Schizosaccharomyces pombe: one gene and its partner. Changing the gene in region 2 together with the main gene of any one other region gives a genetic interaction. Each region holds a gene or a part of one and is shown on either strand. Other genes may lie near its edges. The genes, in order: pqr1 and vtc2.

What was found.
Region 1: of vtc2 (region 2) and pqr1, a mutation in one rescues a mutant of the other (synthetic rescue), as found in Schizosaccharomyces pombe (one study listed by BioGRID).

Annotation. Positions count from the first base shown.
Region 1 is NC_003424.3:2,420,750-2,425,623, forward strand, and holds pqr1 (ubiquitin-protein ligase E3), read right to left. Parts: upstream 3,078-4,874; 5' UTR 2,455-3,077; coding exon 1,042-2,454; 3' UTR 697-1,041; downstream 1-696. Other genes in the region: protein Rrg9, read right to left, coding at 1-92.
Region 2 is NC_003424.3:5,245,915-5,251,243, reverse strand, and holds vtc2 (polyphosphate synthetase), read right to left. Parts: upstream 3,525-5,329; 5' UTR 3,489-3,524; coding exon 3,321-3,488; intron 3,114-3,320; coding exon 1,077-3,113; 3' UTR 606-1,076; downstream 1-605. Other genes in the region: clr6 L-associated factor 1 Laf1, read left to right, coding at 1-103; SPOM_SPAC14C4.10C (Nudix family hydrolase), read left to right, coding at 4,154-4,571, 4,634-5,205. UniProt on the Schizosaccharomyces pombe protein: Accessory subunit of the vacuolar transporter chaperone (VTC) complex.

The DNA of each region.
Region 1 (4,874 bases), 2.8 Mb from region 2:
TGCTTTTTCCACTCTATAGAGGCTTTGTTTGAAGCTTTGAAGGTAGAGCTTAAACGGCGAAAAATCAGAGTAGTATAGTTGAATATATTCATCAAAAAAATCCAAACGTTTCCTTTTTTCAGTCTATGTGACCTTTAAGTAATGACACTATATATTCCATTACCACTTAGAATATTTAGTAGCTGGTGAAGTATAATTACTTCCACTTATAACAAAAAAGTACAACGCTCAAAACTACTCCGATATTAGGTTGAGTTAGTAATAGTTGTAAACAGCCTTAAATTACTCCGCGAAATACTCGGATTTAAACGTTGTCAAATATCTTAAATCTTGTTCATTCGGAGTTTTCAGTGAAATCGTGGCAAAGGACTTCTTGATGCTCCGGTAAAGTCGGTTTTAGAAAGCAAAAAACAGCTTTTGCTAGTGTTCCAAACACAAAAACTACTACCCATAGCACAATTATTCATTAAAATCTGTGAAGAGAGACATATTAAACACTGTAAGTGGGTAACTTAGGAATTGAGATAAAAGCATTGTTTTTCGGACTATCAATGTTTAGTTGCTGAAAGTTACGTTAAGTTTACAAATACATCAGAGGTTGACTACAAGAACTTCCGAATAATATGAATAATGAGTTCAAATTTGGTAAATTTAAGTTACGAATACGATTTCCTAAAACATTACACAGCTTTTGTAAGCTAAAATTCTATAAATGTCTATTGTCTATGTTGATTTTTAAAAAATATGTTCGGTTTAGTAAAGATTAATGGTATGTGATGAGCAAGTATTATGTACAAGCATTTAAAAAAGCTAAATATAAGAAAAAACCGAGAATTATAAGCAAACGTTTATAACAAAGAAACACACGAAAATGCTATTTACAGCAATAAAAGTTAGGTGAGGAAAGAAAAATAGAAAGTTAGTATGCAAATTAGGCAAGGAAAACATAAAAAAACAGATAATCAAATATAGTGAGTAAAAAATAGTCCTGAGCCTTTAAGAGAGGGTTGGGAATTTAGCGGAAACAAATCCGTCGTCTATCTACATTATCACACAATTGTTCTGACCTGATACAACAGAAATTGAAGAAGGAGTAAACGTATCGTTCTCATTTTCTTCAAACTTTTCCTTAATCTCTCTTGGGAAATATGTTTTCATAAAATTCATCAAGGCGTGATCAATATTGCGAGAATCGGCTTTCATAACTTCTTTGGCACGACACAACGGACAGAAATCAACTTTCTGTTTCTGAAGAATGATAAGGCAATGCAAACAAAAAACATGGGAACAACCTAATCTCACCGGCTTGTAAGCAACGTTAGAGCATATAGCGCATTCAAAATCCCTCAGTTGAGGAATAATCGAGAATAGCTTAGAAGAGAGTGAAAAGCATATAGCTTTAGAAGCATTGTCGACCAAAAGAAGAGGGTCTGATTCGATAACTTGAAAAAATAGAGGTTGAGCGGTTAAGGATGTCCGCTTATCAAACTTTTTCATGATCTTCGTAACGGCTAACTTATTCATTTGCTGAAAAGAAGCAACTTTCAACAAACTTTCATTAAGTTCAAGAAACTTAGCATACAAAATACGATCACGATGCTTTGAGGAAGAGGGAAGACATTTTGCTAGCCTGACCTGATCGTCAAACCATTTCAAATGGCGCTCAGCGAGCTCGGGAGTGCGTTCATGACTCTGATCAGCTTCCTTGCAAGAAATAAATATATCGGAATCCATATAAATTTCGAAAATTTTTCTCCAGCAATAAAGAGATTTGTATTTCTTTTTGGAATTAGGGGAAGCTATAAGAGATATTTCATGACTCAGGATATCAATTGCGTTAAAAAGAATTTTACGCTGTTCACGCTGTAGTCCTTCAACACTTTGCAACTCCGAAGTTAATTTTTCAAAAAACTCGTGGTCACAGTTCAACGATATTTCCATACTTTGAACTTCGGACATGTCAGAACTCATAGTTTGAGTATCGATATCTTCATCAACCGTTTCACAAGTCTCTACGCTCTGAGATGATGCGGACACACTTGGTAACGTATTGGTAGGGGGCTGCTGAGTAGAATCCGAAGGAGTAGAAGGAACATTTGAGGCATAATTACTCCTGACGGTTGTAATCATATTTGATGCATTCAACTGCTTGAACATTGAAGCAGCGAACTTATCAGTTTTCAATTTATCAAAATTTACGTTGATAATAATTTTGGGGACAACAATGTGTCCCTCTTTGCCAAGGGAGTAACTAAGCGTAATAGCTTGTTGGGGATCCACGGTAGTCGGAGCCATCAATTTACTGATGGTCTCAGCACTTAGACCCAAGGAAGACAGCTCAAAAACGAACCTTTTAATACATTTTTTTAAGGCCTTGTACTGAATGGCAGCCTCGCCCCAACCAGGGGGCATATCGTTTTCGAGAGCCCTTTTAAAATCGTGTCCAAATTTCATATCGGAAGGACTTTTTTTCAATGAAAATGAAAGAGGATGAAACCTTTACAAAAGATTGAAATCAAAATATTTGAAAGGCGGTAAAACTACAGAATAAAAAACCAAAGCCCAAGAAGGAGAAAGCTTTGTGGTTTTTATAAAAATGAGTGCTCCGACCTTTGCAATCGAAGTATCGGAGTTAAGTATTTTCTTTATTACAAGCAGATGGAGAAAGAAAGCTTGCAAGATAGAGTTTCGCAGAGTTGAATTGCGTACGTTTTGATTAAAATATATATATATTAGTAATGGAATGAAGTGAAGAAAAAAGTAACAGCCCAAAGACCTAAAAGCTGCTTGTGATAAAACAACAAGCTACAATGGGACGAAATTAGATAGAATAGATAAATGGAATGGGAATGAAAATAAATAAAATGATTTTCTAATACCACGTTTCGAATCAACCGAAACCGTCGTTCGCAAACGGAGACCTGCCTGGCTTGATTCAACCAAAGGTACGTGAGTGTTTAAAATTGTAAAGAGATGCGTAACTCCTTAATACTTATACATATAGTAAATGAATTTTCGATACTATTTCAAAAGTTTTAACACTGTACTAATCGTCAAAATCCTTGTTGGTTCATGACAGGTGAAAATCCTTGCAGTCCTTTCGCATCCTTATATTGCACCGCGTTAGACGACGCAAGGTGGCAAACCAAAGCATTTCCCCCTGACGTCATAAAAAGAGCGGAGGAACTTGCGGTATAGGTAATACTACCCAACCGCACTCGGGTTCGCAATGTTATTAGTAAACGGCCTTCCGGTAAGCCTTACAGTAAAAGGAAAGGAAGCAGGGGCAATTGGAAGACCAGCAGTGGTACGAAATCTTCCTTAGCTTTATAGAATGAGGCTTGTGCTGATTGTCAACAATTTGCTGACAATGTGTGAAACGTACAGAGTTGGGTTGTTGAACAAATGTTCTGTAGCACTGTGCCAAAAGAGAAAAAATAAAAAAAAATAAAAAAAAAAGAGAGATAAAGGATAGTCGGTAAGAAGTTGAGCCTCTTTGTTTTCCTCTTTTTTGTATTGTTTTTAATTTTGTATGTATATGATAATAAGTAGGTATCTAATTATATTTGATTGATCCGATTAAACCGGACTATGACTGTAATAACCATTTTATTCACGATTAGTTAACGGTGTGCCACAAAAAACTAAAACAGATAAGGGCAAGTTTCGTATGGAATTATTGTACATTATCGTATTGAGTAAGTAGATAAACGTGTTTGATGACTATAGACATTAAAAGGATTATCGAGATTGTAAAATTTTGGTTTTTTTACAGATTAGAAAAAAAAAGAAAAAAAAAAAAAAAAGAGGAGAAGGACATGTTGCAAATCCGTGAGTCAATAAAACAATTCTGGAAGAAGCAATTTTTTAGTATTCACAATGTAAAGGAAAGGACGACAATTACAATTTCATTGAATAATCCCAAGCTATAGGAGAGACTTAAAACGAGTTTGAAATATTGAAGAATATAGAAGGATAAGAAAGTCGATTAGTATGAATTTTGAGATTCTATTAAAATATGAATAGCAGCAATTGTTAAACTATCAAAATTTTTCTTTTATTCATTATACAATGCTATTTACTTATTACGGTGAAAAACTAACACGTCAACCTCAAACAATTTAGGATTTAAACTTTCGCTTTCCAATCAAGTTTAGATTTTTATTTTCCCTAAAAGTAGTCTTCTCATTTGCACATGATTTTGTAATGCTAAGCTTGGGGTAAATGAAAGAGACCTCCCTTTTGTAAAAGAAATCTGCGTAATGCTTATAACATCGGGTCGTAATTGCTTGACTCAATAATGTAAACAAATTTTGTTAAAACTATTTGTCCCTTGAAGAGGCAGTGTTATATAGTCAGATTAGCAACACAATATATTAAAAACATCGAGGAAATTTGCATTAATAAATGCGAAATTTTCGTATTCTATATGAGCGAAACCTTAGCTAAATAGTATTGATTAACTCAGAAAAGACCAAGCATTCATAGCGAAATTAACATGAAAATTCGTGATAATAGCCTTGCTACATGAAGGCAAGAAGTTCGTTTGTTTTTAAGCAATGCAAGCATGGCATTATTATTAGCGCATTGGCTTCTTCTAAAAAACACAATCTTACATTTTAATTCGGTTGTGGAAAAATTTGATCTTTAGTTCAATGTCTTTTGTAAACTGATAATTTTAACTTCATTTTTTGGAAATGTGCATTTTGCTAATGCATATATAGCAGCAAGACCTTAAATAACAATATAAGTTTTCATGAGAACCATGTTTTCTTAATTAAGAAGACAGTAGTTTGTAAACTGTATTAAGATTATACATATATCAATATATGTTAATATATATATTTATTCATATATTCATTTTTTACAAAAGT
Region 2 (5,329 bases):
AAGCTTTAGGAAAACAGATGCTCAACGTGCTAGTCGTGTCGATGTGAACAAAGCTAGTCGTCTTTGGAAAGCTTTTCACGATGAAGGTTTCTTTGACGACTAATTCGCGAATCGTTCATAATCCTGCTGGCCTTTCAAAAAATAGATTTTTTCTCTCTTTTTCTCTTTTGGCGGGTTAGGGAAATAATCAAATTTAAAAATTTCGAAAAACCACGGATTTCATTTTCGTTGGATTATTTATTTTTTTCTAGGTGTTTTGAATTTTTTGTTTACAATCATTTGCATCTCGGTAAAACCTTTCTTTTTTTTTTTGGATATTTCGTCTTGAAGTCGGTGTCCATCGTTTTATCTGGCCAATAACCAGTAGTATATACCTCAAGTCCCTCTTTTCTTCCTTCGTTCACTTTTTGTTTTTTTATCCTCCCAAAGATGAAAAGCATCATGTAGTCAGCATTTGTATTAAAAAATTCATTAATACAGATGTGAAATAACTCTCTTTTAAAAACGTTCGTTTCTCCTATTTACAGTAGATATTGTTATTTTTATACCTAATAACCGATAACCATCAGTTCCCTAATCAGACGGATTTTAGGGGTTTTTAGTTATTTTACTCTACTCAATTAGATCCAATGCTTAGCGGATAATTAATAATTGATTATTTATTCTTTGCTATTAAATTAATTAAACCATAGAAATTATAATGGATGTCCGACGTTAATATCCCAGTATTAATATACCCCAGTGTTGTAATGTAATGAATATATGGTCAAATCCAGCTTTTCTTAATCCTTGCAAAAAAAGTAAATCGACACGTAAAAACTTGCAATACCCGTGCAAATTTTAGTAAAAACCGATAACATATATCCCCAAACCAATTAACCAATATAATAACCCAAGAGCCCTGCTCTAAATGAAGTTTTCAATCTTATTGCAATTTTCAACTTCACATTGCATCTAAATCAAGAATTTACTGAAATGTTATCTTCTAGCTTTCTAAAAATTTATTGCATTTAAATAGTAAATCCAACGTGTAATAAAAGTTGGAAAAATCCCATGTTGAATGATATCGAAACTTCTCAAGTAAACAATTTAACAAGCAAACGATCAGGTTCAATGAGATTTTGATAAACAGCATCCTTAAGTGCAAATGACATGTTGACAATAAGAGAAATAGCCAAAGCTGTTCCTACAATCAATGGGCCCCAATAATCAGTCATTGGCGCAGGACTGCGGGACTTGATCATTTGAGAACGCTTGGCATGAAGCTTCCAAGCATAGAACCCAATGAAAATAGCTAAAAGAGTATAAACTACTCCAAAAGCCTGACCAAGTCTTTCTCCAGCACTATTATATAATGCAAGAGCAAGAGAACCAAGCAAGACCACGACATGAAGCCACTTCAAAAACGTACGCTCATTTGCAAGCCAAACTTTGGCCTCAACCTTAATCGGACCACTGACTCTAAGCGGAATCTCTGGTTTCTTGATATGGGGTGGAGTAACAAACGTTTTACCATGATGCTTAAACGATCCATAAGTAGATGGCTTCAGCAAACCAGGTATGCTTCTGAAGTTGAAATGGTCTCCGTGCTCATTTCGATACACCTCTCTATTATCTTCGGGCTCTTCTGAAACAGGGTGCATTTCATTGGCCTTTAAACGATTGACCAAAGGTGAGGGTTGACTAGGTTCGGGTGTCATATTCTGCTTTAAAACTCTTTGATTCCTACGTTTAATGTAAACATTTCGAGAGCCCGCAGATCCCTCGGGATGGGAGTACACCTCTTGAAGATCTTTTCGAATATCTTGATCCATTGAAAATACCCACATTGGTAAAAGAGATACGTATTTTTCAAAAAGAATTGCAACACCATGCTCATATTTCGAAAAACCATCAATTTCAGAAATTAAATGAGAATTACGCAATTCAGAGATCCAAAGAGGTTCGTCTTCATCATATCTAACACATTCACGGATTTCTAGGACACTATAAGGGAAACGAGAATACTCTCCTTTTCTTAAGTGCTTATATGGGAAATCAGCATCGTCAATATCGTGACGATGCCAATCTTCGGGGTCTCTACAAGGACGTTCGATGTCCAAAGAGTCTTCACGAATCATAACCCAGTCTGAGTCAAGATTGATACGAACCTCATCATCGCCTGGAATCTGAAATGCGGTACGAGTGTAAACAGAACGGAGAACAGGCTGCAAGTGATTGTCAACGATTAGCTGTTCAACATCTTCAATTAGTTTCTTCTTCTGATCAGAAGCAGTTGTCGAGTGATCATCCTCAACCTTCCTAAAATCATATCTCCCACTTAGAAGCTCTCTAACCTTCTTCTCGCGGATAGTGAACCGGTCTTCACTATGTGAAAGAGTACTTCCTTGACGTACCATTCGTTCAACGATAATATCGGTTTTGGGAGTTAACTTTCCATACCAATGAAGTCGCAAAGAATAAGCCTGTTCTGATCGTTCCAAATTTTGAGAATATAAATCAAAGTTGGAATTATCTAAATACAAGCAAGTTGATATAGGATCCAAAATTCCAGATACACCATTTTGGTCTTTGTCAAATCCTTGCTTTCCAGAGTAATAAAGAACAGGAAGATGCCTCATAATGTATGTTTTTACTTCCATCACATTATCAGGATGGACCCAAAAACGAAACGTACGACGACGATACATACTAGAATTGTAATCAACATTGTGCTCATGCTTCGGTTTCACTTGCACGGAGTTACTTGGTGCTGAAAGACCATCACGTAAAGTATTATAAAGAGAGAAAATTTCAGCTAAAAGAGGATTAAATTGGACACTGCCTAAAGGACAAGCGCGAAGACGAACCTGAAACACAGGACGAAGAGAATAGCCGGGATAAAGCTTATCATGCTTCTTAACGATTTTAAAGAAACCTGTTAAGTTAAGACGAGTGTACTTCTCCAACTTCTTAACCGTTTCAGTACAAGAATCCAATCGTTCTAGTAACTTGATGGCTTCTTCCTTAGAAATGGGAGGACCATCAGGTTCCTGAGAAGCAGAAACTTTAGATTTTACCCAATCCACTGATTCATTTAATTCTTTCAAAATTTCGAGATGAAATGCATAAACCTACAGAAAATGTTAGCAAACGTTAAGCGTGATAAGCTTATTTTTCTTAAAATACAAGGATTTATACCAAGCATGGAATTTTAGATAACAGCATTCTACAGGAGCAACAAAATAAAATGTGTGATAATTTCAGGCTACTTATTAATTTAAGCTCCTAATTACAATCCTTGTAATACAAAATTTAAGACATATTCGCTTGCTACTTACCTTTTCCAGTTGGGCATCCATAACAGAAACAAACTTAGACTCATCATTCTCACCCCATGAGGGTGCTTCCTCTTCAGTTTTAAGCAAATGTTTTAACTCTGGATAATTCATATATTTATCTCTCCATGGTTCATAAATTCCAGCTTCTATACTGTCACTGAAACGCATTGCTTTCTTGATCCAAAAAAAAAGATGTGGTGTTGTAGTAAAGTATTTTCTCGCAGCGCCCTTTAAATTTTTAATTAGAGCAGCGAAGTGATCTCGTTAAAACGATTTTTGTTATTCCATTACGTATTACTATAATAACGATATGATAAACATCGCTAAGCAATGTCCACATATTCGTATTTCTTATTTTGTCAACAATATGAAAGATGTTATTGCAACTCAATTAAAACTTTACAATTATCTATCTGTTCTTACTCAATTGACAAATAATTTTAGTAAACAAGTGGAAAGAAAACGAAGTGACCACTCCATTATTGAGTGTTGTACATAAGCCTTCCGTTTTAATATACTATGAAATAGCTTTACATTCCTTTCAAACAAAAGTTTTTTTTTGAATAGATACAAGCCGATTCTAACTTCAGTGACGAATTTGCATCATCTAGAATTGGATGCTGGGTGCTTCATCTGTACTTCCGACTACATTGTTGTAAACTTCCGTTGAGGTAATCCTTACAATAGATTTTATTATCCAAATTTCTATTTATCCATTTTTTACTTTTTTTTCTTTCTTTAATTATTAGGAGCTGAAGCAACAGCACTAATAAGATTTACTCCTTTATAAGTGGAATACAAAATAATTCTTTTGGAAATTGAGCTTACAATATATGGAGTTGGAATTGGACTTATTAACCGGTCTACAATTACTTTCTGAATATTGTCCGAGAGTAACACCAAATGCTCCTCCAAGAAGGGCTTCGGTAGCTGTTATAATAGCTTTTAAAGAATCCCAAGATTTTTCTAACCCAAAATGGCCTCAATGTATTCCCATTACTTCTGTTCCTTATGTACTTCTCATTCAACGCTCATTTCGAGACACCGATCGATGGTCTGGTCATATGGCCTTGCCAGGAGGCACACGCTCTTTGACTGATAAATCAGACATTCAAACTGCACACCGTGAAACATTAGAGGAAGTTGGTATTGATTTACGAAAAGAGCATGCACATTTTGTTGGTGCTTTGGATGAACGTGTAATCACTTCTAATTGGGGTCAATTTCCGTTACTTCTTTTATCTTCCTTTGGTATGTATTATATTTATTTAACAAACGGTTTTTTTTAGGTTTCTAACTTTATACTTCCACAGTATTTATTCTTCCCTATATGCCGTCGTTGAGACTTCAAGAATCAGAAGTATTTTCTGCTCAATGGTACCCATTGGCAGATCTACTCTTGCCTGAATGCCAGACTAGGATCCAAATAGATTCTTCACGAGCACTTAAAAAGACTTATCCTAGGTTTATAAAGACTCTCTTTCATTTGGCTGTTGGAAACTTGATGTATTCTGCTATACGTTTAGAATTTGATCCGAGCTCAGCTACCTACTCGCTTCCTCCCTATCAGCGCCCTTTTCTTCGGGGTATCACACATAGTATATTTGTGGACTTATTCATTTTTCTCTCCCCTTCATCGGCAAGGCATTGTTTGTGTTGGTCACTACCGTACTTTCAGCATTATGATTTGCGCTTTATAGCATCTTTTTTTACTCAGTTTTATAGGCTTCGCTTGCATCAAGTATATCCACGGGGGAATTGGGTATTCACATGTCTTAATGGTTATTATCCCTATTTAAAACTGACTTTACTTGTTGGCTTTCTATTTCGTCTATTCCTGGTTTATCTTCTATTTCTAATCATTTCAGCCTACTACAAATCTTAACTTAAAGTCTTTTAAGTTTATGTGATTTGTCCTCTTTATTTATATGACATTTTCTAAACCAACAATTTTTGCTTACATTATGAGCAGTTATTAAAATACATCCTTTTAAAGTGTACGTGAAATT